Rhinolophus ferrumequinum: one gene and its partners. The protein of the gene in region 2 purifies or fractionates together with the protein of the main gene of each other region. This does not show direct contact. Links are inferred from orthologs where the notes say so. Each region holds a gene or a part of one and is shown on either strand. Other genes may lie near its edges.

Evidence for each region.
Region 1: the proteins of AP2M1 (region 2) and EPS15 purify together in Homo sapiens (affinity purification with mass spectrometry; 4 studies listed by BioGRID and IntAct, counting the BioPlex papers as one, with this or other methods). This does not show direct contact. The link is inferred for Rhinolophus ferrumequinum from reciprocal best matches to the Homo sapiens genes AP2M1 and EPS15.
Region 3: the proteins of AP2M1 (region 2) and AP1G1 purify together in Homo sapiens (affinity purification with mass spectrometry; 3 studies listed by BioGRID and IntAct, counting the BioPlex papers as one, with this or other methods). This does not show direct contact. The link is inferred for Rhinolophus ferrumequinum from reciprocal best matches to the Homo sapiens genes AP2M1 and AP1G1.
Region 4: the proteins of AP2M1 (region 2) and NECAP2 purify together in Homo sapiens (affinity purification with mass spectrometry; 4 studies listed by BioGRID and IntAct, counting the BioPlex papers as one, with this or other methods). This does not show direct contact. The link is inferred for Rhinolophus ferrumequinum from reciprocal best matches to the Homo sapiens genes AP2M1 and NECAP2.

Annotation. Positions count from the first base shown.
Region 1 is NC_046292.1:36,801,404-36,808,391, forward strand, and holds the start of EPS15 (epidermal growth factor receptor substrate 15), read right to left. Parts: upstream 3,002-6,988; 5' UTR 2,907-3,001; coding exon 2,874-2,906; intron 1-2,873. UniProt on the Homo sapiens protein: Involved in cell growth regulation. May be involved in the regulation of mitogenic signals and control of cell proliferation. Involved in the internalization of ligand-inducible receptors of the receptor tyrosine kinase (RTK) type, in particular EGFR.
Region 2 is NC_046285.1:60,945,396-60,952,420, reverse strand, and holds the start of AP2M1 (AP-2 complex subunit mu), read left to right. Parts: upstream 1-4,010; 5' UTR 4,011-4,139; intron 4,140-6,110; 5' UTR 6,111-6,153; coding exon 6,154-6,227; intron 6,228-7,025. Other genes in the region: DVL3 (segment polarity protein dishevelled homolog DVL-3), read left to right, coding at 1-354, 1,187-1,218.
Region 3 is NC_046298.1:20,876,461-20,884,475, forward strand, and holds the start of AP1G1 (AP-1 complex subunit gamma-1), read left to right. Parts: upstream 1-5,014; 5' UTR 5,015-5,345; intron 5,346-8,015. UniProt on the Homo sapiens protein: Subunit of clathrin-associated adaptor protein complex 1 that plays a role in protein sorting in the late-Golgi/trans-Golgi network (TGN) and/or endosomes.
Region 4 is NC_046292.1:11,052,281-11,059,931, reverse strand, and holds the start of NECAP2 (adaptin ear-binding coat-associated protein 2), read right to left. Parts: upstream 3,007-7,651; 5' UTR 2,954-3,006; coding exon 2,862-2,953; intron 715-2,861; coding exon 614-714; intron 1-613. UniProt on the Homo sapiens protein: Involved in endocytosis.

The DNA of each region.
Region 1 (6,988 bases), on a different chromosome or scaffold from region 2:
TCAACAAACACTTGTTGAATAAATATTAAAGTTAAGAAAACTGAGGCCTAGAGACTTAACTAAATGCCATACAGGTAGCTCTTGGCAGCGCTAGGACTGGAACTAACATTTCATTACTCCAGTATTCTCTCTATAAGCTAGAATATGATAATTTAGATAATTTATTTTGGTAGTTGAGAAGTTGGAGAGTTGGTTGGCAGGAAGGGGAAGAGGGAGAAAGGAGTACATCAAAACATTTTTCACATTTTCCACCCAACTTTCGGTTTTGCTTAACTGATAAAGGCAAAAAAAAATTATAAACTAAACAATCCCAGAAGAGTGCCTAGAACATAATAGGTACTTAACAAATATTTGTTGAATAAATGAACCTATTCCAAAGCCATTATTATCTCATGACCAGAGGAAGAAACTAACTTCAGCATGTTTAATCTTTGTAACTGTTATAGAGCCCTTTAGAATTTCCCGTCATTCATAAGACAGTTATTAATCACTTTCTTCCAGATGGGCACTGAGAGAGGACAGATGAATTAAAAGATATTCCCTGCCCTGGAGGATCTCTCTCACTTGAGTATGCCTATATCAGCGAGAGGAGAGAGAGAGAGAGAGAGAGAGAGAGAGAGAGAGAGAGAGAGAGAGAGAGAGAGAGAGAGAGAGAGAGAGAAGACAGAGATATTTTGGGGGGAGGGGTTGACATAAACATATCTATACTGAATGTGAAACTAGGTTGCATTGTTATCCCAGTTTAGTACCTCCAGCACTTAAAAAATTAAATTAAAAAAACACAAATCAGCAGTTTTAAAATAACAAGGAGGCACATATTAGGGTATATTAACACTTGGGAAAAGTTCTTTTTCCCGTGCCTTTACAATATATCTTACTTCCTTTTAATGTCTTAAAATCAAAATATTCTAAATTGACTTATTTGAATTGTCAATATAAATGAACCACCAATGTATGTCCTAGCATTTGAGACAATGAAGTATAATACTCCTGCTTCAGTATGTACTCTGTATACATGTTAATATTTAAATATGTAACCATAAGGACATATTTCAATTATTTAACTGTCTATATGTCTATAAAACTGACAGAGCCTGAAGAAAACCTTCAGAGATGAATGCTAGTAAATAGAAACTAAAAGCATTGTATTCCCCAGGGAGAGAATAAAGTAGGCAGGCATACAGCTAAGAAGTAAACCTACAAAGGCCTTCGAGGGAACAAAATCTTCAAGAGGGGAAAAACTCCTACCCGAATTGACCAACTGAGCCAGAGAACACCAGCCTGCCAACAGGATCTTGTTTAATGCAAGTGACTAACTAGACTCATAAAAGAGTGAACACCCAAAAGTCAATCTTGCCATTCTTCAAATTTGAGTGTCAGGAGGATCCCTCCAAAGAGATTCACCACCAAAACTAAGTCACCACATTCCAAGGATTCTTCCCCATTATCTGCTTGTCAAAATAGGATAAGCAACACCAAACAAACTAGGAAACAAACATTCACTTATGAGTAGTAATTCTTGCAAACTGGGGTTATTTTACTCCAGGTACGTTTATGTGAGATTCCTGGTTCCAGGGGAGAACAACTTTTCACTCAGTCTATCTTACAGTGGGGTAAGCAAAACATCCCAAAACCTCTTGATCCCAGCAATGAAAACTCTCCAGCCCAAACGTATACCCTATCCCAGTGTTAACGCCTATGAAGCACGAAAAATCCAGGCCAAGGAGACTACAAGGTGGCAGGGAGATACTAAAAGGCAGGCAGGAAGGTTGGGGTGGGTGCCAAGGGGAACCGACCTGGCCACCAGCTCTGGAGACAACATGCTGATAAGGTGAGACCGGGATAAGTTTTGGTCAAAGGAGTGGGAAGGTACTGACAGGTGCATGTCACCTCATTATCCTGGACATCATGGCAAGATTACAACTGACTTTCTTTACAGAGAGGGAAGAATGAGGCTGCCAGAGTCAGTGATGTTGAGAAGTTTTCTGGGAAGCACAAGGACTGGGGCTCTGAAGGAAGCAGAAAAGCAAGAGGAAAGACCCTGAGAACCGGTATTGGTGAAAATTCCCCCAGGACAGGTGTTCTCTATGGCCGTTCCCAGCACCAAGACTGGTGGAACCACCACACCTGTTAAAGGATGTTTCCCTGCTACCCGCTTGGACAGGAGATAGGAATGGTAACAGACGTGAGGAGGAAAGGACTAACCGGGGGTCTGACCCAGTACGAAACCTGATCAAGAGGGGAAGAGGCTGAACTCAGGAAGGGGCTAGCAGGGTAAGCACGCGGGTCGGATAAGACATTTGGAACAGAGACTGACTGGAGAAAACTGTTGGGGAAGGGAGGGCTTTCGTTGGAATCCAGGGGGAAAAGGCCGGTTTAGCGAGCCCAGATGCCTTGAGCGTCCGACTTGGGAAGGTGACTCTAACTGGGGGAAGCGCGCTGCCTAACCCACAGGGTGAGCCTCGAGCGGGCCGAGGGCTGCCCTGGGCGATCCGCGCGAGCTCAACAGGAGCTCACCTGGGACGGTCTGGCCTGGAAGGAGGAAACTTCCTGGGTGGGGGAAAGCTGAGTGGGGGGAGAGGGACCCAGCACCGACTAAGGCGGGGAGGGGGCACGGTGCACTTAGCTGGGGCGCCGCGTGGAGTGGGGCCAGGGGCGCCGACCCACCCCGGGTGGGGTCGCGGCTGCCGCGGCGGAGCACCGGACTGGGGATGGCGCCCTCCCTCCGGCGCACACGCTCTCGCTCTCACTATCGGCCACCTCTCCCGGGGCCGAGAGAAACTGCCCGGGTCGGTGAACCACAGGGCGGTGGGGGAGGGGGCCGGCCGGGGAAACCGACCGATCGAGCCCGGCGGATGGGCGGGTGGTGTTACCTGTGTCAGGGAGAGCTGGGCCGCCGCAGCCATGGTGTTTCCATCATGCACGGGAGGGGAAGGAAGGACGGGCGGACGGGGGCTCGGGGCGGGGAGGAGGCGGAGGGAGCGGCCGGAGGCGAGGCCCGGGCGGGCGGGCTGGCGGGCGTCTCCCCTAACTTCGACAACTTCCCTCCTCTCGCCTGCCCCGCCCGCCCCGCGCAGGCCGCGGTGGTACCCAAATCCTGGCGCTGGATTTTAAGCTGCCCGGCCGGAGCTTGAATCCGGAGTGGCCTGGAAAAACCCGGCGCGGATACGAAATTAAGGCGGACGGGCTGTGAATTTTAGGCGGGTCACCTACCTACTCTAAGTTTCTGCTTCTGAAAAAAGGGGGAAATTATACCCAAAGTCCAGGCTGCTTGTGAGGACTAAGTAAGATAATGATAGAAAATAGTAACAGTACTTTATATATGCCAGAATCTGTGCTAGGTGCTTTATTTTTGAATTGTATTAATGAAGGAATTGAGACATAAGTTGTACTCGTATAAATGAGGAAACTGAAACACTAGTGTCATACCAAAGGTCATACACCTGATTATATAGCTAGAATAGGATTCAGGTCCGACTCCAAAACCTTTCATTTAACCATCTGCTATTAGGGTGTGATATTGAAAAAGAAAACTTAAGTCATTCCCTCCAGGAGTCAAAACCTAGAAGAGAGGGGGAAGGAATACTTTTCTTGCATGCTTGCTGCCTGCCATCCTTAGACTGTTCAATGAAAGAGCACTGGGACTTATTCAGTTGCCTACAGCCCTCCTAAAACCTCCCATAGTCCACCTGGCAAACTCCTCCTACTTTCTCATGACACAACTCAAGTATCAACTCCTTTGCAAAGCATCTGCTAGCCTCCCCAAGTCAGACTTACACCTGCTTTTCTTTTTAACCTTTTTTCTCTACCTTATGAAGTCATCATCACCCTGGTGACTGTTTACATCTGTCTACCCCTCTAGACTGAGAGTTCCTTGAGGACAAGTACTGTTTCTGATGTACTTCTAGATCCTCAGACCCTAGCAAATAGTATGTACTTAATAAAGCCCATGGTTCCTGCCTATATTAAACATAAAACATCCTACACTTTCTCATGCTGCCATCTTCAATTAGAAAAACCAACCAGTTACTTGAAGGCCTCCGCTTTAAAGGTTTGGCTTATACGCTCCCTACTTAAAGAAGCCTTCTAGGAAATCCCACCCCATGTCTTAGTTGCTCTGATATGTTCCTTATTATACTTGGTATGCCTTGTTTCTAAAAGGTAGTTGCGTGCTTTTCTGTACCCCACCAGACTGTGAAATCCTTGAGGACAGGATGCCGACTGACTACTATATTCCCCTCACAGTGTAGTCTGGCACCAAGGAAGCCTCAATAAATGTTTTTTACCCAGAATTGGTCTCCCTTTCTCAGTCATGGTGGGTTCCCACAACAATAAACCGCAACTCTATCAAACCCACACCTCTGTAACCATTATCACAGCAGTCGCCATTTGACCCACCAGGAGAGCCAACTAAACCCAGGACTGAGTTAAAACCCAGCTAGGTTTTTAGTCCTTTGTCACTACAGGCAAACCATCCCAGAAATGCCCCCCAGAAACTCCTGGCTCTGTTCAGACCCCTTTTTACAAGGTCCAGCCATGAAGAATAAGCCATACAGGTCTGGTGAACAACTGCTTACTCAAGAGAATCTCCCTTAACCTCCTTTTGCTGTTATTCTTTTTAACTCAAGGGAGAAGGGGAGATACTGTTTTAAATTACTCCACCTTGGTACCTCTATCAGCTATAACAACAACTGATGTTTCTACTTGAGTTTTCTATTTTACATTAAGATATTTGAGCTTCCCAACTCTGAAAGGTAGTAATCACCATACCCACTTTACAGGTGAGGTAACTAAAGGCCAAAGAGGTCAAGTGATTTGCACAAGGTTAGACAGCTCATAACCAAAGCAGTATAGCATAGTGGAATAAACAGGGCTTGGACATCAGAAGCACCCACGTTCCAATGCTAGCTCTACCATTTCTAGTTGTACAAACTTAAGATTGTTGTGAGGATGAATAAAACAACATCTGTGAAAATACCTAAAGACATAGATACACAAATTTCACTAAGAAATCTGAAAGTCATGGAAGAAATTGATACTTTAGGGTGAATAGAGTCCCAGTGTATAGTTTCCTAGAAAAGCAATGTGGGGAAGTAAAGAGAATATTGGAGTCATTTAGTGTGTGACCTGATTTTCTCATGTATAAAAAAGTTTTCTCATGTATAAAAAAGTGTTTGAGCCTCATTTTCTCATGCAAATCAATGTGGAAAATATTGAGGAAATATAAGGCATTATCATTATAATTATTCTGTGATTGATATTAAGTAAAAAAACAAGACAAATGTATACAATATCACAGTTTATAAATGTTTTTACAGCATGTAGCACAACTCCCGGAGTTAAATACACACATGATTAAAGTTTGTTGAACTGAACTGAATGCATAGTCTTGTGCAGTTATTATTTGGATCCTAATTTTATCCCCATTTTAAAGATAAGAAAACCATGGAACAAAGATTTTTCTAAATAACTTGTTTAAATAAGGATTGCTTAAATCAGGTTTGGGCCTTGGTTAAAATGACAGTAATGATAATTAGACCTCTCAGCAAAGGAAGACTAGTTAAAAATCATTATATTAGAATTGCTCCAGGCCCCTTCCAGACCACCAATAATTTGTACTCGTTTCCTTCTCTGCTCATTGGTTCTGGTTTAAATTAAAAACTTGACATGTAGTGGGGGGTGGGAGTGATGGTCTAAACTAAAAAAAAAAAAAAAAATCTAGAACTTCTGGGACTGGATTTTTTAGAACGATACGCCAATGATAGTTTGCAAATGCGTGTCCCAGATCTCATCAAAGCACTGGGTCATATCCCAAATCTATTTTAGGAGAGTATAATGTAGCTAATGGAAGATATGTTATTATCTAATTCAGTGTAACAAGAATGAGCTTCATGGAGCAGACAAAAAGGGCTTACGTGTTTTTTCTAGGGCCACTTAATTTCTCTGGGTCTCTAAATCTCACATTCCTAATGTGTACATTGGAGATAATATCTACCTTGTAGGGATGGTGCAAGGATTAGAAAACATGCATAAACATCCTATCCAAGAGCCTGGACTGGAATAGATGTCCAATAAGTGGTACTAGCTATAAGCATACCATTTTTTTAAGACCACTTCACCATTTAACTCTCTACCCCTCAGACAATCCTGCAATTACTAAGTCAATTTTGCAGACACATTGCCTTGAACAGCTGATACACATACCCCTGTCATCAGAAAAGTAAATGTTCCCTAGGTAAATAAAGCTGTGTATGATGACTTCAATCTGGATAGTGAGAACCGACAATTGCTGCTTTCATATTATTTCATTGAATCCTCATGACAACCCTATAGGATTATTAATTTTATTTTACAGAAGAGGAATTTGTCCAAATTCATAGTGAATTATATACAGGCCTTCTGACTCAAATGTACTTTTTACTAGGGCATGTTGCTGGTGTCCTGCAGACATTACTCACACCCGAGGAGACTTGATAAAATGGTGCTTCTAACCATGGAAACCGGAAGATGAGGCTCCGGATTTATAAGAACCCTAAACCCAAGATGATCCTGAAGAGGAGAACTTAGAGCATGAACAGTTTTGTCATCAGCCTATCATCCCATGTTTCTATCCTACTCTAACTCCTACTCCCCCTCGCCAACCCATCCTTAAGGGAAACCACAGTGATTTGTGTTTCTTTACTTTCTGACTTTTGGAGGGGACTGTTGTATCAGCTCTTCCTGAACACTGCACATCTGTGATGCCAGCATTTAGAAATGCAGGATGATTGATTGGAACTATGAAAAAAAAAAAACCACAACCAACTGTGGGGATCTCTCTGAATATACAAAGAACTAATTTATTTGCATGAGACTTTAAGAACGGCCTTCCATATAAATGGTGCTAAGCTACCAAAAAAAAAAAAATTATACTGCAATTGTAATGGTAATCTGGAGCTCATGCTTCCAAGCTGCTGGTTTCATAAATATAGCCCATTATTGTTCATGT
Region 2 (7,025 bases):
CGAAGGCCGGGGACTCGAAGTCGGGCGGCAGCGGCAGCGAGTCGGACCACACAACCCGCAGCAGCCTGCGGGGGCCGCGGGAGCGGGCCCCCAGCGAGCGCTCGGGGCCTGCCGCCAGCGAGCATAGCCACCGCAGCCACCACTCGCTGGCCAGCAGCCTGCGCAGCCACCACACGCACCCGAGCTACGGCCCCCCTGGCGTGCCCCCTCTCTACGGCCCTCCCATGCTGATGATGCCCCCACCGCCCGCGGCCATGGGGCCCCCAGGAGCCCCTCCTGGCCGCGACCTGGCCTCTGTGCCCCCCGAACTGACCGCCAGCAGACAGTCCTTCCGCATGGCCATGGGAAACCCCAGTGAGTTCTTTGTGGATGTGATGTGAGCAGGGCCCCTCCCCCACTTCCATCCCACCCCTACCCTGGCTGGCTGCGTCCCTCTCTCCATCCTTCCTTCCGTCTTTTTTACTTTGTCTGGTACCTAAAAGGGAAATAAACAGAACTAAATCCAGGCGCGCTAACTGCTCGCTGGGCTCAGTGAGGGCGGGCGCATCCACCGATCGTCCCTGCAGCCCCTAACCTGTCATGGCCCCAGCTTGGCCCTCTGCCCACTAACCGCTACACAGGACTTCCCAGGATCCTTCATGTCCCTGGGACCCGACTCGCTGGTGCTGTTCCCTACTCCCTTCTCTGCATACACTTCAGGAGTCGACCTCAGCAGTGCCCTTGAGGACCTGCTCGGCCCCTTGTCCCCACCTCTCCCCACTCAGTTTCACCATTCATCCACCTACATCATCCCTCTGTTACCCTCATCCCCTTAAGCATGTGTGCCAATCTCTTGACTTTTCCCCACAATACTGACACCAAAAAAATCTTGCTTCGTCTGTTCTTCCTCCTAACTGTCCCCTGCCTGCTGCTTGTACCCTAGAACTGGGGTCACCTCCGGTAACTCCCTGCCTGTGCTGGGCCCTTACCAGGAGCCCAGAGGGCCCGCAGGTGCCTGATCTGCTAGTGGCTTCAAGGGAGCATCTCCGCTCTACCCCACCACCATCCATCCCACCGTGCCTGCATTTGTGTGCTGGTTCCTTCAGACCCCTAACCCTACTAACCAGCAGGCTCATCTCACCTCTGGGCCTGAAACATTTCTTCTCTTTCTTTTTTCCTCCCCCAATTTTTCCTGGGCCTGGAGCAGCCAAGAATTTCGGGCTGTTTGACTTTCTGTGAGCCCCCAGCGAGGGGAGGCCCAGCCTCCGAGGAGACCAGGAACCCTGCTTCAGCAGCCCCTCAGGGCTTCCCAAGGATATTCAGCCCCTATACCCATACTTCAACATGTTGAGTCACTAGGCTTCTGGGGAGGGCCCCAGCCACTTGCCCATGTACGACTCTATTCGCCTTTCCAGAGAGTGTGTGCGTGCTCTCTATTTCTCTTTCTCTTTCTTTCACACGTGCACGCGCGTGCACATGCCTATGCAAAGTCCACTTAAGCTTTAGGGCTGGTCCCTGCCCAGAGGGCTAGACCCTTTCTTCCATTCCTCTCCCAGGTGGTAGGGCTGGTCCCGATTTACCTCCACCCTTCCTCCCCTCCCTCGTAGTCCTCAAGCCTCCCGTGCACGTCCTCCTCATCTTCCTACCTGGATAAAGCATAAGCTGGGTCTCAGGCTAGGCTCAGCAGAGGACTCCCCAGACAACTGACAGGCTGTTCTCACCATGCCTACTGCTGCACAAACCTTTCATGTTTTCACAATCACCATGATACCCCAGAGCAGTAGGGCAGGGGGACTTCTGGGACTTCCAGACAGTGCCAGGTTTTATTTTTTTAGCTTACTTTTAGTTTAAACAAATCACGACTTTCTCTTTAAGTCTCTCCTATAAATTCTCCTGGCTCACCTAGGCTCCCCTAGTCAAAACTGGGATGTCAAGAGTGAAATGAAGTACTAAGCTCCAGGTTTTGGGGTAAACCCGGGTAGGGGCATTTTGGCATTCACTCATTTCAACAAATACTTCCTGGGGTTTTTAGTGAGTGAGGGTTGTGTTGGAAGTCTGACTCCGTCTTGCCTGCCTTCTGGAAGCTCTGGGTTTGTTCCCAGCCAAGACCACGGCTTCCTCTAGCCACCACTATAGGGCTGCCTCCTGTACTTCTTTCTTCTCTGACTGCTTTGTCTAACTCTCTTGAGAATTCCTCTACTATTGCTCATGTCTTCGGTGCTGGTGCTCCCAGTGTTCATTACATTTCTTTCCTATTTACTCCCCAAATGGTGTCATCAATCCTAATGTCCTCAACTGCCACTGACACACTGATGATTCTCATATATATACATCTCCAGCCCCCATTTCCCTCCAACCTTTAGATCTGTATTTTTATAACCCACTAGACATCTCCATGGACATGTCCATACGGACTCAACTCATTTCCCCCTCCACCTCCTGACTTCCCACCCTGGTTACCTTCATCACAATCTACATAGGCTCACCAGCTAGAAACATTTATGGGCTTAAATTCTTTCCCATCTCTTACTAGTCAGCAGATCATATCCATTCTACTCCAACATTTCTTGAATTGGGCCCTTCTTCTCCCTCTGCCTCTACTCTAGTTCACAGGTGCATGAGATTTGGAGTCAGATTGTTCTGGGTTTAAATCCCAGCTCTACTACTTTTTGGTTGTGTGATAAGAGAGTTATTTCATCTCTCTGAGCCTCAGTTCCCTCACATGTAAAATGATGATAATAATACCTACCTCACAGGGTTGTTGTGAGGATTTAAATTAGATATTGTACGAAAAGTGCCTAGCACAGTGCCTGGCACACAGTAGAATAGGTGCTCAATAAATGGTAGCTATTACTATTATTATTATTATTATTATTATTATTATTTACTCTAAATTGGTAAGGGCTTAGGATAAGTATTGAAGATAAAGCTTTTGGAAAGGTAGGGATGAAGCCTTGAGTGCTGGTTCAGGGATCAGAACTGTCTGTATTCCGTCACTTAATGGCTTCCAGCTATAACCATGATTTGAATGAAGGAGGCCAAATCTTTATCTCGCCACATTCTGGCTTCTGGAAAGAGGATGCTAGGGACAGTAAGCTTGCAAGGTTTGCCCTTTCTTGCCCTTCCATCTTCCTCCAATGATGGTCTCAGCCCTAACTAGGGAAGGCATCACGGTCTCTCTCCCTACAGAAAGAGAAGAGCCAACAAATTTTCTTCAGGTCCTGCAAGAGCCAGTCAGGCCTTTCATGTTCAAGGATTGGCTCTCTCTTTTCCTCTTGGCTTGGATATGAAGTTTGACACTGTTCATCAGAAGGGATTTCAAATCCCACGTCCAATTAAATTAAACTCACCAGCGGTTTTCTAAGCAACATATATGCCTCACTGGAAGGCACACAGGTTGTGGCCTTGAGCTGACAGTCACATAGGTATAGCTGAAGTAGAACATGCACGTATTCTTGGAAAGCTTTAGCAAGTTTCGTCCAAGTACTTGCCTCATTACCCACCGTCCCCTTCCTTGAGTCTTGATCCCTGGGAACCGGCTCATGTCTAGTACAAATATATGCTGGGAAAAAAAACTTGGTAGAATCAGAGGTGATGTTAGAAAGCAGTAAATTCAGCACAAATACTTCTACTGCCAAGCTGTGTGTTGTGTATAAAGTGAGGACAGCCAGTCCTCGGACTCTGGAGACAGAAGAGGCCTGCAGCAATCCAAGGCTTAACAGATGGGCTTCAACAAATGGCCCTTGAACTCGAGGCATTCATAAAACACCAAAATAGGAAGGGGAGGGACTGCAATTACCAGAATACTCAGTGGGGAAAATGAAGTGAGCGTGAGCAGCGTATGCTGGGATGTGTATTTCGGGTAGGGCTGGATAAGGCCACTCCTACCCTTCTTGTCGAAGGTTCTCGAAGGCATTCGGTAGTTGTAGTTTTGCTAAACTTGGAGAGCTTAAAATTGTAAGCGTGAAGTCTGAGGGTCTGACGGGATTTGTAGTCCGCGCGGGAGTCGGACGCGCACGCGCACGCGCAGCTGAGGCCGGGGCGGGGCCGGGGCACTGCGGCGAAAGCAGAGGCAGCGGGCAGGCAAGCAGGGGGCGGGCGGACATCTTGGAATACGGAGAGTGGCCGGGCGGGCGGAGCAGGGGGTCCGCGGACATCAGGTGAGTTCGAGATCTGGCCTTACGGGGTGAGGCAGGTCGCCTGCCCCGCTGCCCGGCTTTGCCCTTCCCTGCACTGCGCTACGCGGAAAGCTGTCCACACCCAGGAGTGGCCTCAGCCTTCAGATCTCGGAGGGAGCTGAAGGCGGGGCGGGGGCGCCCGGGGCGCAGTTGCAGGGCAGGCGGGGAGCGGCGCCCTCCACCTGACCCGCCCGGCGCCTCCCGTGAGAGGGAGACCCACTGGAATCCTCCCAGATCCGGGGCGCCACGCGGCTCCCCCCTCCATGGGATCGTGACAACACCCCTACCCCTCGGCGCCTCCTCTCAGCGCAAGGACAATTTCCCAAGCCCCCAGGACAGTGACACCCCCTTGTGCCGCCTCCTTGGAGTGTGACAAGGCTCCCACCCTGCGGCACCCCTTCCTCCCAGTTGACAGACACCCGCGGCTTTTATTCCTCAGACCTGTGACAGCCCCGCACCCCGTGGAATCATTTTCTTTTTTTTCTGCGACGTCTTCCTACCCAGGGGAAAAGCCCACCACCTCCTCATACCTCTACACCTGAACCCCAAAGCAGGCTCTGTCACCCCATTGTTCCCTTATTCACCACTGCCAGTTTCCCCCACCTCTTCAAAGCCCTGACCTTTGCCATACTGAAACTTTCCTCCAGGTGCCCCCACCAGCCCCGCTGCTGCTGTGGTACACATGTGCCCACCTGAGGGTACTGCCTGGCGTTGCTGCCAGGCTTTTCCTTAACTAAATATTCCATTCCTGTCCGGGGCCTCCCCTCTGCTTCTCTGTGCCAGAGCTGCCTACCACTTGATACCTGTGAACCTTTGCCCAGGGCTCCACCTCCATTTTGCCTTTCCTCTCCCAGCCTCTTTGGCGCTGAGAAATGGGATGTGTCCACCACCTTGACAGACCTCTCACTGAGTCTGGGAGACTTTGATAGCCACACGAATAGGATTTATTTTACAGTTTAGAAAAGTCTGCTAAACTCCCCCTGTGCAATTAATACCAGGGCTAACCCAGGAAATCTAGAACTAAATTAACCCTTTTTGTTCATGCAAACAGTCTTAGTTTGACCCAAATAATTTGGATAAATCAGGCATCCTGTCCCTTGCTTGTAGGCACTCAGGCCAGGAGTGAGTTGTATTGTGGGTCTGGAATCACAGAATTTCAGCTGGAAGGATCTCTTAATTTTATGTACCTTCGTCTCGCCTCCCGGCTTATTTTTATTGTACTTGGGAGCTAAGAGAGAGCCTCCCGTTTTTGAAAGAGGGGGTGGTCGAAAATAACTAATAAGCAGCTTGGGTCATTGAAGTTAGTAGGCCAGGGCTGAGGCCTTTCCCTTCTGCTCTTTTGCCTACTTATCAGACTGCCTGGCAGAGCCTAAGGCCTCCCTTCTTTCCTCCTCCCCACCACCCTGCACACCTTTTCTTGGAATGTTTAGACTTCTGTGAATTAGAGAGCCAGAAGTTCAGGCCCTGCCTCCTTCCCAGAAGGGTACTAGAGCCTGAGACTGCTTCTAAAGCTGTGCCTGGGGGCCCCAGGCCTGAACCTACTGAGTAATTCCTACCGCCATTCCTGCAGCCGCAGGCAGGCCTTAGCAGTGACTCACTGGTGGGAGCCTAAGTGAGTCTGCACAGGAAGGAGCTGAAAAGGATCCATGCTGAGCTCGGCTCTGTGAAAAGGGGAAAGGGGCTACTATGTGGGCTCAGCCCCAGGAAAGGGAGGGTTAAAATGGCCTTAGAATCCTGGGCCCAAGTCCCTCACCATTTCTTCCTCCTTTCCAGTGTGGGATAAACAGGAACTGGAGCCTGGCTAAGGGGAGGGGCATGCCTGGGAGGGCTGCAGGGACACTTACTGGAGAGTTGAGTCAGGGAAAAAAGCCCAGACTGTGACCTGCACAGCCCCACAGGGGACGCAGGAAGGGTTTATGAGGCCTTCCCTTACCCTGTCCCTGCTTATCCTAGGTCTTTTCTCAGAACGATGGGCCTCGCAGACTGAGCTGCCGCCATGATTGGAGGTTTATTCATCTATAATCACAAGGGGGAGGTGCTCATCTCCCGGGTCTACCGAGATGACATCGGGTGAGTCCCCTGGCTGAGCCAGCTGTGCCCCCACCTTCCCAGCCCTCCTCCCCAGCATGCAGGGCCAGGTCTGTTCCTATCAGGCTTGACTTGACCACTCCCACCCCCTGCTGCATCATGGAAGCTCAGCCAGTACAGCCTGACTCCCATGAGGTCTGGTGGTACTGGCCTGGCAGCCAGTTGCTGGCCACTAGACGGGACCTGTGGAATGGCGTGGTCTCCGAAGTCTTAGGAGCTCTGGCCTTTCCGGCCTCCTGTTTCCCTTAGTGGGAGACCTGGTAGCTGGAGATGAGTGCTTTCGCCTGGTCAGGTTGATTCCTCCTTTGAGGAAGAGGGAGATCTGTTTCCAGTGGGTGGAGTTAGTGGCCAGGCTGGAGGTACTAATCCATCTAAGTCTTGCTGTCAAAAGCCTTTCTCACGGTGAGAGCCCTCACTGGATTCTTTTTTTCTTTTTTCATTAAAGTTTATTGGGGTGACAATTGTTAGTAACATGACATAGATTTCAGGTGTACAGTTCTGTATTACACCATCTGTATGTCACATTGTGTGTGGGTTCTCTCACAAGCCTCTCCAGGCTGCCTAATCCTCTCCCGTTCTCACTCCCTTTCTCAGAAGGAGGCAGGCTGCTGACTTAGCTGTTTCAGTTCCTCTCGGCCATTTCTGGGGGAGAGGTTGTGAGCAAGCCTGAGGCAGCCTCCGGGTCACTGAGGGGCAGGTGGAAGGGCAGGGAGGCCATGCTGCCCTTTCTGGCCTATCCGAGTAGACCTGGAATCGCTCCTTATTCTGGGTCCCTCAAAC
Region 3 (8,015 bases), on a different chromosome or scaffold from region 2:
GTGAGGAGCTTGGCGGGGAAGGAGATTGCTGTTCCCTGAACTGGGTACCAGGAACTGGGTGCCCCAGTTACCGTGGATGTCCCAACACTTCTTGGACTTCCCAGGCTCATTTGAAAGCAACTTGCAGGACTGACTGATTTTAAAGAAACAAGGATGGGACTTTGCACCTAAAGGAGAACGAAACCAATTTACTGTGGATCCTTCTTGGCATATAATGGTGTCCATATTAAAGCAATAAAATGACTTGAGTGGGAAACAATGAGTCAGAAGCTCTGTTTTGTTTCTGGATGGTGCATCTTCTCCAGTGGCGTCGGTTTTGTCTTCCCTAAATGGCAGCATGGCACCATTTCCTCAGTTAGTGTTTGACTTGGTTGCAGGCTCATACCTGGTGAGATTTTTTTCACTCAAAAAGTTCCAACATAATACAGAATCATTTACAAACCAAGTGTAACTACACTACAAAAAAGAAAATATAACCTAAATATGACATAAAGCATCTCCGGTGGTACTTCAGGCTGCCTCTTTAAAAAAAGTCTCTAAAGCAAAGAAGGAACTTGGCCAAGCCTCATATCCTCTTTGGTCTTTACTTTGAAGGAACATAGAGTAGATTTCCCCATGTTCTTGGTAGGAGGTCAAAGAGTGTAAGGAGTTGGCTGTTAGAATCTTAAGTTTTACATCAGGATTTTGTCATAACTGAAGGATTAATTCCTAAACCATTTTCTCAGGCCAGGATAAATGGTGATTAGGGACCATGCTTAAAAGAAATGTGAAAATGCTTTTTGCAAAAGCATTACATAAATGACAGAGGGACTAATTTCTCCCTGACTTTCAGGCTTATTTATAGATTCGTCACTCAAATGGTAACAAAACAGGCCAGTGGAACTGCCTCTTTGACTCACGACACTGCATTTCCTATAGGGTTGCGTCTCCTTTCTCTACTGAGATCTCTGGCACATGGAGAGCAGGAAGAGTTCCCTGTGGAAGATGCTGACCATATTTCCACAGAGAGGGCTTTCCCCATCTGCTGTAAAGGTCATATGGCTTCAGCTGATGATACTGAGTCATTTAAGAACCCCTCTGCATCTAAGTCCAAGAGAGATGGTTCCCTCCGCCCCCCATTGCTCCCCCCACCTTCCTCCTCAGGACCACAGAGTCCAACTGCATGCCATGTCTTCCAAAAGCCCTCTTTCACTGCTGTAGCTCCTAGTGATCTCTCACTTTTCTGCTTTTTTGGGAACTCAGATGTATCTGCTGAGTAATAATATCACTGATTTTTTTGGATTTGGGGAGTTTTTAAAAATCTGGTTTTCCTCAATGAGATTATAATTATCTGGAAAGTATGGATAGTCAGTCCCTTTTGAAATGCCTGTTATAGATTCTGTACACCCAGAACAGCATGATGTAGTTGAAAGAGTCAGGCAACATGTTTGGTGAATGGTTACTATATGCGCCAAAAGATATATTCAAAGTTGAAAGGTTTAGATTGGAGTCTGGTCTTTGCTGTACGTAGGTGTGACAAATCATTTCATTTCTCTGAGCTTCTGTTTTCTCATCTCTAAAATCGGGATAATAAAATTTATCCTAAAAAGAGATAATATTTGTTGAGCCCTTACTATATATCAGCTGTTGTCGTAATATTAATACTTTAAATGTATCAGCTCATTTAATTAACACACCAGCCTTAAGATGCCAATGCTACTATTAACTCCATTTTACAGATGGGGACACTGAGGTTCAGAAATGCTCAGAAATGTTAAGTAACTTGCTGAAGGTCACACAATAAAGAGAGGAAGAGCAGTTTTAAACCCAGGCAATTTAACACCAGAAACCAACACTTTTAACTATTCTATAATGCCTGTATGCTTTACAAACTCATGGTGGGTGAGAAGCAAATGAATCAATGCATATGAATACACTTTTGTAAATTGTAAAACATAATGCACTACTGTTACTTGTAGTGGGCAATCAATAAATGCTTTAGTTGAATTGTCAGGTGGCACAAAAAAGTTTTATACTTATATTCTCATGACGTTTGATACTTTTCAAAGTGCTTTCACACATTTGATCTCTCTGCATAATAGCTGCTTTGAATCCATTTTGGAATAAGGCTAGTCATAAATAAATACTGGCCAGCTGAGGAAATAGGCCCCAAGATGGTAAGTACTTTGCTCAGGGAACAAAGTGAGTTAAACCCAGCCAGGATGGGCATCCAAGTGGTCTCACTCCTGGCCAAAAACTGAAGTTTTGTTTGTTGTTATTATTTGTTAAATTGAACTGTACAAGGTATCAGTAATAAACAAGACCATAAAAATAATGATCTTTTCTCTCAGCCATTATCTCTTCCTAGAAATTTGTTTAATACTTTCAGGCTGTTGCTATTTTAAAAACAAAAATCTCTTTTAGCATTTGGATCCATAAAACTGCATTATCTTATAAGGTCTTTCTTTTTCAAAATGTAAAACATTTTTTTCAAATAAAAGTACAGTATGCTCCTTGCAAAAACAAAACATAGTAAAGTAAAAAATCCTCTAAATTCCACCATCCAAAGATAATCATCTTTAGATTTTAGTATTATCCTTTAACTGTTTTCCTATGTATATACAGTACACACTTTTTACAAGCTCATTTTATAATAATGTTTTGTAATGTTTCTAAAAATCTGTGAAACCATAATAACCTCCATTTTTATTGGCAGAATAGTGTTTCATTTTATTGATGTGTTGTAATTTATTTATCTGAAATTAGGGATTATGTTTGAGTAGATGGTGATTAAGTCTTCCCAAATTTCAATTGCTAGCCACAGAAACCAAAGATTCCAGGATAATGATGACCATGCTACATACTTGGTCAATTGCTTTTAGTTTTCAGTTACATTGAAGGAGGGGTTTGGTAATTATAAAGATAAATATAAGTTAAAAAAAATACATGAAGCGGGTTTGCCTTTTATAATGTCTGTCATTTTCTCTTTCATGCTCTATCATTGGCATGGTAGAAAACAGCTCCATCCTCTTTCTTAAGAAGATGGCTTAACTTTTCTTTTGCTGTTTGCGATGGTAAACATTTAAATTCAACCTCTAAGCAAATTTTGTCACGTTGCAAATGGAATACTTTAGCTAACTGCTTTGTAAATTCCTTACTTTTTTTTTTAAACCCCACTGCCCACCCTATAAATTCCTTACTTTTATGGGAGCCTCAAACTGTAGTACTTTAGCATGTGTTCATGCATAGCTATACCTCAGAGGAATCCATGTCAAGGCATCATTACGGTGTTCCAGTTTTGCACTACTATAGTCAGCCCTTGCTATCTGTGGGGGATTGGTTCCAGGACTCCCACGAATACCCAAATTCAAGGGTGCTAAAATCCTTTATATAAAATGGTGTCATATTTGCATATAACTTAAGCACATCCTTCTGTATGGTTTAAATAATCTCTAGATTACTTATAATACCTAATACAATGTAAATAGTAGTTATATTATTTATGGAATAATGACAAAGTCTGTACATATTCAGTACAGATGTCTGACTACATAGTACACATCAGCGACAATGTAACATTTTTCCCCCAAATATATTCTAGCTGTGGTTGGTTGACTCCTCCTAGAAGCAACTAGAGGATACTGAGGGCCGACTGTATTTAGGGCTGCACTGTGATCCAGGGATGCACTGTACAATAGTTGCATGGAGGGGATACAAGGTGACTGAATTCCATAAGCATTTTACTCCCCAAACCATTTGCCCTTGGTTGATTCCACCCTAAGTGTGGGTATGGGTGTGGGTGGGTGTGTGCCGTTTTCTAATTTGCAAGGTGGCATGGTATAGCAGAACCCCATGGGGGATGGGGAGAGTCTTTCACTAAGTCAGTTTCTCTGTGCCGCAATCTTCTTATTTGTAAAACTAAATTACATATGCCTGTCTAGTCTGACTCAGAAGATTGTTGGAAGATTAGATTATACATACAAAAATGCTTTTGATAAACAGTGTGGTATCAATATTTAATAAAAAATAATTACTATTATTATGCCCTTGATCTTTTTCTCCCCCCCAGCCGCTTGGCATGCCTCAGTAGTTCAAGAACAAAATTGTACAGGTGGGCCTATTCAGTTCAATTTTTGTAAAATCTTTTGAAATTCTGGCATAAGAATGGCTAAGAGGAAAAGTGTAACCTTTCTACTGTGTTTCCCCGAAAATAAGACCTAACCGGAATATAAGCCGTGGCATGATTTTTCAGGTTGACATCCCCTGAACCTAAGCCCTAATGCATCTTTTGGAGCAAAAATTAATATGAGACCTGGTCTTATTTTCACGGAAACACAGACCGACAAGTCCTAAAATCAAGATTTGTGGTTAGTTCAGTTCTCTTTGGCATCTACCCAGGTACTGTGCTTTATTCACTTTGGGAGGTTCACTTTATTGCCAATCTATCTGAAGGATTTTAGTTTAGGTAGGTCACCTTTCCTTTAAATGGGTCAAGCTATCATGGCCCTCTTTACGTTTACATGGAAAATATTCGTATCAGGTGTTAGTAATTATTTATCAAGCCAGGAACTGTCTGGTTAGCCTGTCTTTGGCTCCGTTCATTAGTTCATGGAGTCAGTCAGAAAGCCTACTCTGCAAGGATTTTAATTGTCACTAGTCCAAATCCTCTCAGTTTATATATGAGGAAACTGAGGCCCTGAGAGTTTAAATGACTTGTCCAACGCAGATGGTTGAGCGGTGGTACTGGGCTTGGAATCCATTCTTCGTGTCATCCTCCAACTCTTTTTGTAAAGTATGTTGCAAAGATGCCATAAAACCACAGAATCCAAGACCACCTGCTTCGCCTCTCGCACTTCCTTCGCTACCATCTTGCGAGCCCCGCCCTCTTCAGGTGACTAGGTCGCTTCCTGGTAGCCTAGGCGCCCCCAAGCGGAACCAATGTCGGTCGGCTGCTGGGTCAGCCGGATCTTTCTCGCTCAGACTCTCCGCAGCGGTGACTCGGCAGCAGCGTCTCGCGTCATCAGTGACAGCCCCGATTCATGCTACGCTTTGCGTCGCTCTGCCAGGCGCAGTCACCTCCTCCTTGGCAAATAGTCCTCGGCGAGGTTCGAGTTCTTGGATAATTAGAGAGGGGAGGCACGAGAAGTTAAAGTCAGAGGACGCGGAATCGACAAGGAGAGGAAGATAGGGACCGAAGTTTTTCGATAGTGTGTGAGCTTAGTTAAAAACTCCCCGCTTCCTAAGGATCCCTCCGCCTGCAGTAGCGGTGGTGAGGCCGAGGGAGCCGCCATTTTGGATGTTCGGTTCCTGCTGCCACTGCTGCCGCCGCCCCCGGAGCTGCTGGTCTCATTCGAGGTTTCGGGCCGGTGAGTGTCACTCGCGGCGCTAAGAATATATTGCTGCTTTTGCCCCACGCTTGCCGGTAGCTCTTGGCCGGAAGCTTCCTGTCAATCCCAGGGGTCCGGTCCCAGGCTGTGGGGGGGTGAGAAGAGAGGACAGAGGCTGGGCCAGGAGGGGCCCGGAGCCCCAAGGACTGCTCCGACTTCTTGCCGACCGACCCCCGAGGCCTCGGACCGGGAGGCACCGCGCGCGGTTGCATTCTGTGCTGTGGCGTTGCTCGGTCGCTGCGGGCTTCCTTGGACCCGTTGACTTTCTCAGGCTTCGATCCTCATTTGAGGGCTCATTCGGGGAGCCTGGGGTTAGCCGGGCGGGTCCCACCCCCGCGTGTCTTCTTGAGCCACGTATCAGCGTTCTTGTATCTTATACCCGGGTCAGGTCTTTCCTAGAACTTTTCAGAATTTCCAAATGCTAAGTTAATTCCAGTCTGCACCTGCAGTGTTGTCTTCTCAGAACCGGACATCGGCCTCGCCTCCCTTTAATCTTCCGAGCAACTTCTTTCCCAATTTTCCGGGTTTTTTTTGGTTTGTTTTTTGTTTTTAAACTCACCTTCCAGTACACTGCTTACCCTTCTCTCAAACTCCTGATCGTGCGTACATCAGTTTCTAATAATTCTCCCTATCTTCCCGACTGCCTGAAAGAGTTGGGACGCTTGGTTATGTTTCCCTGTTAGGAGATCCGTCGAAACACTCGCCCAGAGTGTCCTTAAGCAGTAAACGTTCATAAACCCCATTAAATGGCTTTTGGGAGGGGTGGTAGGGATAGGCTGTCAAGTGTTTTCTCATTTGTGTGTTACTTTCCTTTGCTGAACACTTAGCTTTTTGGTTCTTATTGACACTGTTTTTCTTGGTGTTTTATATCCCTAGGCATGGAAATCTGCCTGTGAAGAATCTTAATCTGATGTAGGTAGAAAGGAAAGTAACTTTTTTTGCTGCTGTAGGGATTAGTTAACAGAAGAGAGGAGTGAAAGAATATTTCTTAGTGAACTTAACTTTCAGGTGTTTTGTACAGTAATCATCTTTGTCGACGGATTCTAAAAAATACTTGGATTGACTTCTGTATTGGATTTTTCTGGATTTTTAAATACTTCTGTTCCTCGTAATATTTGTCAGACTGTATACACCTTAACTTTTGGTTTAAAAATAAAGACTCTCCAGGTACCCATAATCTCACCACTTGTATTCTACTCTTAACATATGTTTGCAGTGTAGCATGCTTGAATAAAAAGCATTTTACAGTAATTCACTGCTTATTTTCTACATTTCAAATTAGGTGAGTGATTGTATCACCTCTATTTCATCTTAGCCTGGGTTTTTACATCTGCAAAAGAGAAATGACTTATTTGAGATTACAGCCTAGTAACTGCTGAACTTAAAATTTATAACTTGAACTGGACCAAATATTCTAATACTTCTAATTCATGTCTAAGTGCATTAGTCTTATTATCAGGTAGGTACATTCCTGTACTGATCATATCGTGTATTAGTAGAAGACTGAATGTTTTCATTGTAAATAGTGTTCTTGTTATTTAAGACTTCTCAAAAATAGGCGTATTTACTCTGAAGCTGTGGAGTTTCTCTTTGTTTAAAGGAACTCTAAACCAAGTCTTTTACCAAAAGAGTTTGGTCAAACGTGGAGCATCTATGGAATGCTCACTCGTTTATTATTGGAAGAGTTATCAGATAGGTGTCATTTAATTCGGTTCATTTCATAACACAATGTACTGATATTTAAATGTCATTCAAAACTATTTACTAATGGTTTGCATTCAGTTGGAGAAAGTGTCTTTCTGCCTTACAAATTATAAGCAAAGTGCTGTTTAGTGCACTGTAGATTGATCAGCATAGACCTGAGCATCTATTTTATCTAAAGTTGTTGGGATTATACTTGAATGAAATTAACATTATTGTTTAGAAAACCTCAGTTAATTTTTGGGGGGAGCAGTTGCTTGTTCTTTAATCTGTTTCTTTGACAGCAGTTCTAGATTTGAGGGTGAATTTTAGAGTGAAACTAATGTACAGATATTGTCAGCAATGCCTTGGTAATAGTTCATCCTACTATTTTTAAAAGTAGTCTTGAAATCAGTGGTGTATAAAAACAAAAATCCAGGTTTTTGTGATTTATAAAAACTTTTTATGCAAATTGAAAAAGTTGAACAAGTATTTTCCAAAACATTATTTTTTTAAAAAAATTGAATTGTGGGGTGGCCAGATGGCTCAGTTGGTTAGAGTGCAAGCTCTCAACAACAAGGATGCCGGTTCAATTCCCGCATGGGATGGTGGGTTGCGCCTCCTGCAAATAAAGATTGAAAACGGGTAACTGGACTTGGAGCTGAGCTGCACCCTCCATAGCTGGATTGAAGGACAGCGACTTGGAGCTGATGGGCCCTGGAGAAACACACTGTTCCCAATAAAATAAAATAAATGAAAGTATAATTACTAATATCAAATAAAATATTTTTTAAAAAATTGAATTGGGAAACTACTTACCAAAACAGATTTTTGAAATGCTTAAATCCCGTTATTTGCATTCGATGAGGAATTTAAAATTTTGTGTATACAGAAGGACTTAATTGATAACAAATCTTTAAAATTTTTATTTAGATTTAGCTTCAGAAAATCTAAAAGTATTTTCTTCAA
Region 4 (7,651 bases), on a different chromosome or scaffold from region 2:
GCCCAATCCCTGCTCTGGGGGCCGGGCTGCCCTCTGCAGCTCACCCAGAGGCACAGGTGGCACAGGACTTCTGGAGAGATTTCCCCTAACGTGCGTCTGCTGGCTGACCCCAACACTGCCCAGCTTAGCTCATCTCACCAAAGAAAAAGCTGAGTCGGCCAGTTTCCAGCTCTTTCAGTTAACGGGCGTGGTCAGTCTGGGGAGTTACCACTTAGCTGATAAACAGAATTCCTGAGTGAGAACCAGAGCTCCACAGCAGAGGGCTGTGCGTCTTCACCCAGCTCGTCTCAAGACAAGCTCCGGGGCTTCCCTTTTGGGACCAACCTACAGATCTCCTCTCCTTAGACTCCAAAATTAGTATTTTCTTAAGGGCCCTCCAAAAGAAAAAGTGCTTGACAGGAAATACTGCCTTTAACATCTGGGGATACTGGTTACTACAACCAAAGGTGGGGAGGATGGTTCACTGGGGTCTTAAAGGTACACACTGGGGTTTTTAATTTCCAGGACAGGTTCCCATGACCCCGCAGTGGCCTGGCCAGGCCAGGGCTGCCTCTCCCTTCACAGAGTGGCATGGCACCTCAGCCCCACACACACAGACTTCCCTTGCCTTTACCTGTGGTCCTGTCCTCCAGCTTGATGTAGGCCACCTGCCCTCTTGCAGTGATCCGCAGCCGGCCACTCCATGATGGCTGGTCCAGCTGCCACTCCGCAGCCCTAAGGGGACAAAAACCATTGAGCCTCTGCTGGAGGCTCCCTTCTATGCTGAGGATGAGGATGGGAAGGGCATGTGGAAGGCTTGCGCTAGAGACTGGCGAACTTCTCTGAAAACGGCGACACAATCTGTCACAAACACTCACTCTGCCATTGTAGTGAGAGCAGTCAAAGGCTGTACGTAAGTGTGTTGGTGCTTTAAGTATTTTAAACGAATGGTTTCTACAGAGTGTGGCTGTATGTCAGTGAAACTATGAACCAAAATTTGAATTTCATGTAATTTTCACTTCATGAAATGTCTTCTTTAAAAATTTCTCCAAACACTTAAAAACATAAAAACCAGTCTTAGCTTGTGAGCCATACAAAAACAGTGGAACGTCGTTTGCTGACCCCAGTTCTAGATTACGAGTCTAGAGATCTTCTCTGAAGTAGGAATTCCAGTTTTATTTCTATAGAGGAAGCAGCTCCTGGGGCTTGTTGTTTGTTGAAGACAGTGCTAGGCTGGTGTGGTCAGTGATCATTTGGGACCACTGACACCATCGTGGAGGAAAAGCAGAGAGGGGAGCAATCATTAGCAGAGAAAAGGAGAGCAACAGTACACGAGAAAAGTGAACGGGTGTTTAAGAAACATTCTCAAAGGTATCCTAGGCAGAAAAGCAGAAAGGAACCCAGGAAACCATGGACCTATTGCAATACCCTCTTTTGGCTCTTTTAAAGCAGTAACTTCACATTTTAGTTCTAAGAAGCCGCTCAGTAAAATCCCCTAATAGCAAGAACTTTGGGTGTTTCCAAGAAGCTTTTCTTGGAAGTCCCAAGCATATGGGACACACTATAACTGTGGATGTAGGTTGTTTGGAAGGCCACCCAAATGCAGATTCTCAATTCACAAGTCAGAAGTCAGCAGGCTGTTTCAGTTCCTCTTACTGGGGCGACAGGCCTTAGACTCTGAGCTCTGAGATTGAAGGACAGCTTCCTCTATGCCAAACCGGCCAGTCCTGACACTTGGTAATCTTGCTCTCTGGGGGTCCAAGAGGCGTCAAACCCATCCTACTGAAAGGGGATGAGGGTAGACAACCATCACTGGTTTGGTGGTCCATCTCCAGTGATGACAGAAAGCAAATGTGTTTTTGCTACTTTTATACTATTTTTGTGCTATTTTTAAATCATGTTACGGATGCAGCAGGTGTTCAACAAAATATGGGTTCATTACCCAATCAGCTATGATCCCATTAACACAACTGGAAATTAACAAGAGGAGAGATCTGTCCACACTCCACCATCCTTTTGCAGGCCAGTCCTGTATTTCCAAATAACTTGAACAAATACTCCCTTCAAGAGCACACCCCCGCCTTACCACCCCCCACCCCACCCCCACCCCCCGCCCAGTGGCACAAAATAGCCATAGGCCAGGTTGTCTGTATCAGGTAATCTTTTTTTCTTTTAATTATTTTTCGTCTTCTTTTGATAAGTAATACATACACACGGTAACAAAACGCAAACAGTACAAAAAGGTACACAGTGAAAGTAAGCCCCTTTCAACCCCCGTTCCCTTCCAGATAGTCTACGAGTATATGTGTTTATTCGTCTCAGGAACATTTCTCCAGAGAAGTGTGGATGGATTCCTCCCAACTGCCACAGGCAGCGATAAAGTATCAAGTTCACACGAAGGGAGCTGGACAGGGAGGGCTCCCTGGGCTTCCGCCATCAGCTTAAAAGCCCCCGGGACCTGTCCTTTCGGCCGGTTCTGGGCTCCCTTCCTTCCCCTCCGGGATTTCCGCCTGTGATAGGTCCCCTCCCCCCTAAGGCTTTTCAAGGATCCCTTCAAGGCCACCAGCTAGCTCTGAAAGAAAAAAGTCTGTGACACCACCACTCCCGACCACGTTTAGGGTACCTGGCAGCCCACCGGGTCCCCAAACACTAGACACGGCTTTAACGCCTTTCCCGCAGCCGGGAGCTCGGTGCGTTGGACCTAGACGGCCAAAATTCTGGGCTTCCCTTCCAGCTCTGACCAAGAACCGAGAGAAACCTGAGCATTACCTCCCCTCGCCCCTAAGCTGGCCGTAACCATCCTCAGCTCCCAACAGTGGGCGTGCCGGGCGGCGGGGAAGGGATTAAGTTGGGGCTAGCCTGGCCCGGTGGTGGGCAGTCACCTGTAGCCACGGTTGGTGGCCCGTGGCGGGATGCGGTAGATGTGCACTTCTGGCTTGACGCAGAGCACCGACTCGTACTCGCCCTCCTCCATTGCGATGCCCGGAGCCCGCCAGACTTCCGGCTCCTTCCCAGCCTGGAGCGGGGGTGCCGGAAGCGGCGCGACTCTATGACCTGGGTCAGGCTAGAGCGGCAGCTCGGGACCTCAGCACCACATCGCTCCGGCGCCCTCTGCTGGAAGCCCTGGCTCAAGACATACGGCGGTCGGACCCAGGAATCCCCCTGATGAGGACTGGGGTTCTCCAGGGGCTTCCCCCTCCCACAAGGCCTCGTGCGCGGCAGAGTACAAATACCTGTTCGAGTTCTTGTTTTCAGTTCTCTTGAGTATGTATCTAGGAGTGGACTCGCTGAGCCATATGACATTTCTATGTTTAGCTTTAGGAGAAGCCCCCAAACTGTTTTCCACTCCGGCTCCACCGTTTTACATTCTCACCAGCGGCGAACAAGGGTTCCAATTTTCCTCAACTTCACCAATACTTATTTTCTATCTTTGGTCATAGTCATCCAGGAGAGTGTGAAGTTAATCTCTCATTATGTGAATTGGCATAACTTCTAATTTCAACTTTGCTCATTACCCTGCTTCTGCACATTAAAGAAGAAATTGAGAAATGACCCAGAAAATGATATTTCTTCCTCCCAGTTCTTTGATCCTGACTCTCATCTTGCTAAAGTCCTGGAGGGGCAAAGAGAGAACTCCCCTTAGATGATAGAGGGGGAGAGGTATTAAGACGGAGGTGAGGACACACTCCCACACAGACAAATCTTATCCCCTTATATTCTCACCGGTCAGTTTATATGTCTGTTTTCCCACTAGACTGTGAGCTTCAATGTAGGGCCCCGTCCCTGCCACCTGTAGACTGCTGTATTTAGTGTCCTGGCACAGAGTAAGTGCGCAGTGAAAGAGTAAATGAGTGAGTGTGTGTGTGTGTGTGTGTGTGTGTGTGTGTGTCTGTCGTGCGGGGCAGCCTGCGGGGCCTCTGGTCCCGCTCCCCACATAAGAACGCAGGATATGGTGAGGCCAAGAAGGAACACCCACGGAGCCATAGGTAGGGGAGTCATGCCACTATAGTCTCACTGAAGGCTGGGAAGACACACGCAGTAGTAGCCACATGACCCACAGTCCGCCATTCACTTCTCTGCCTGCCAACCAACCAACCAATCAACGCAGCCCTGCAGTTACATCAGTAGCCAATTGGCTAACCGGTTACAGCTGATGGCCAACTAATCACAGTTGATGGTCATTCACTACCCGAGCCAGCACCTCCCCACGCAAGCCCCAGAGCCTGGAAACTGCTCTCTGGGACTCTGTCCCCGACAGTGTGTGTTTTCAGTTGGCTGCATTCCAAGGCCAAGGGGCAATTTGGGAATGGGCCACTGTGTTTTCTCTTTCATACTCTGATTCCTTACATGTGCTGAACAACATGGGAAAATCAAGTATCACAGAAGGAAAGCACCTGGACCCACTGAGTCAGAGAAACTTCCATCTTGGAGAGCACCTAGGACCAGCTTTGGGGTAGCGTCTACCATCAGCACCGAGTTCCATCATTTCCGCTCTGGAAGCCAAGCAGTGGGGAGGTGACCCTCAGTGACTCTTCTGGGCCTTGCCATGTGGCTGCCACAGGTAGAAAACCTTTCTCTCATCAGCCTCAAAGGGGATCATCACTCTGTGCCAGGGGCAGCCAGGCCTTACAATGTGTTCAGAGCACTTTCAGTTCAGTTCAGTCTAACAAAGATGGGCATTGAGTGAGTACCTACCAGATGCCAGGTGCTGGGTGCTAGGGCCACAGAGATAAGGCTGACCCTGCTCTGCCTTCATGGAGCTCACAGACCAGAGAGGAGACAGAGAAGAAAAGAGTCATTTGCAATGCAGAGTGAAAAGTGTTATGATGGAGGAAACTCACAGGGGCCTGTAGGAGTGAAGAGAAGAGAAACCCACGCAACCTGGGGGCAGTCAGGGATGGCTCTCTGGAAGAGGTTACCTTGACAATAATCCCTGTGAGGTAGACAGGGCAAGGATTGTTATCCTCATTGTGTAATGAAGGCCACTGAAACAGTGACAAGCCCAGGGAAACTACAGTGCCTTCTAGTTGGAGGTCAGACAGTCCCCTTGCCTTATTCTCAAAACCCAACCACATGGCTGGACATTCCCTAAATGCGTTCCTAAACCTCTGTTGCTAAGAATAACTGAACCTACCATCTACTCCCAGGTTAACTACAGTATTTACCAAAAGAATTCAATTCAACCCAACAGGCAGAGAATAGGCTCAGAGAGAGCCCATCTTATGTGTGAGGAGGTGAGCGGGGTTGTAAAATCTCTCTGTGATTTATCCAGCTGTTTTCTTGTTGGTCCAGGGCCAAGGGGAGCGGGGGTTGGATGTGAGCAGTTTTCCTTGGTGGCCTCCAGACATATATATTATAGGTCACTTATCATCTTTCTCTGTTGTGTTTTCCTACCATCACAAACATTTTATAAGAGAAGTTCACCCATTTCTCAGATGGGGAAAATACTTATAAAAGAGCACTCGATACCAAAACAATTTTGAAAAAGAACAAAGTTGACGTGTGGAATCTGAAAATACAAAACAAACAAATAAAACAGAAACAGACTCATAGATACAGAGAACAAACTGATGGTTGCCAGAGGGGAGGGGGGTGGGGTATGGGTGAAAAGAGTGAAGGGGCATAAGGGGTACAAACCTCCAGTTATTAAGAAAAAAATTCTCATAGATGTAATGTACAGCATAGGGGAAATAATAAATATTATTTTAATAACTTTGTATGGTGACAGATGGTTACTAGACTTATTGTGATCACATCATAGGAAATATGTCGAATTACCTGAAACAAATATTATATTGTATGTCAATTATACTTTAATTAAAAAAAAAAAGAACAAAGTTAGAGGACTTACACTTCCAGATCTCAAAACTTACTAATGAGCTACATTAATCAAGACAATGTATTACTGGCATAAGGATAGACATATAGATCAATGGAACAGAATTGAGAATCCAGAAATAAACTCTCACATTTACAGTCAGTTGACTGTTCGTAAACATGCTAAGAAAATTCAGTAGAGAAAGAATAGTCTTTTCAAATGATTCTCGGATGATATATCCACATGCAAAAGAATGAAGTTGGACCCCTACCTCACACCATATACAAAAATTAATTCAAAATGGATAATAGACCTAAATGTAAAAGCTAAAACTATACAACTCTTAGAATAAAGCATAGACATAAATCTCCATGACCTTGGATTTATGTTATAATAAAAAGAATCTAATGGATTCTTAAATATGACACTAAAAACATAAGCAGCAAAAAAAAAAGCAAAAGAAAAAGTAGATAAATGGGACTTTAACAAAATTGAAAACTTTTGTGTTTCAAAGGACAAAAAATGGAAAATACAATTCACATAACGTGAGGAAAATATTGCAAATTATGTATCTGACAAAAGACTTGCATCTAGAATATACAAAGAACACTTACCATTCAATAATAAAAAGACAAATACCCAATTTATATATGGACCACGGACCTGAATAGACATTTTTCCAAGGAAGATATACAAATGGCAAGAAGCACATGAAAAGATGCTCAACACCATTAGTCATTAGGGAAATGCAAATTAAAACCACAGTGAGATACCACTTCACATGAACACATAATTCTAGGATGGCTGGAATTATTTTTAAAAGTTGGATAATAACAAGTCTTGGTGAGAATGTGGAAAAATTGGAACCCTCATACACTGCTTGGAGGAATGTAAAATGATGCAGCCACTTTGAAAAACAGTCTGGTAATTACTCAAGAGGCTAAACATAGAGTTACCATATGACCCAGCAAGTCCACTGCTCGTATATATGTACAAGAGAAATGAAAACATGTTCACACAAAAATTTGTACACAAATATTCATAGAAGCATTATTCATAATAGCCAATAAGTGGAAACAACTCAAATGTCTAGCAACTGATGAATGGATATACAAAATGTGGTATATGGGCCATAAAAAGGAATGAAGGGCTGATACAAGCTACAACATGGATGAGCCTTGAAAACACTTTGCTAAATGAAAGAAGCCAGTCACCACGGACCACATAGTGTATGATTCCATTTACATGAAATGTCCAGCATAGGCAAATCTATGAGACAGAAAGTAGATTGGTGGTTGCCTCGGGCGGGGGGTGGGGTACGTGAGATGAGGGGATGGCTAAGCGGTGTGGGCTTTCTTTTCGGGGTGACAAAAAATGTGCTAAGGGTGGTGATTGTAAAATTCTCTGAATATACGAAAAGCCATTGAATTGTATACTTTAAATGGGTGAGTTGTATGGTATGTGAATTAAATCTCGATAAAGCTGTGAAAAAAAAGGGAACCAAGTGTCCTGAAAAGGGGGCACAGTCTATATTGGCCACCCACCCCCCTCAAGTCTGTCCTCAGATTCCATGCCTTTCTGCTAGGGTTGGGCTCTTCCCCTTCTTGTCCAGATTCCCAGTTTGTAAGCTTCCAATGGGAACGGAGACGGGGGGGCTGGATCCCCTCTGGAGCCTCTGCCCCCTTCAAACTTCAGCTTGTGGAATATTGGGGCCTGAGAATTCTGAGGTTGAGACTGCGCTTTCTGAGGTGGAGAGCGTGAACAATGGGGGGCGTGTTTGAGGGGTCTGGCTGGGGGAGGTTTCTCCAGATGGGTCATCCACCCCCGGTGCGGGAATGCTTAGGGAGCCCTAAT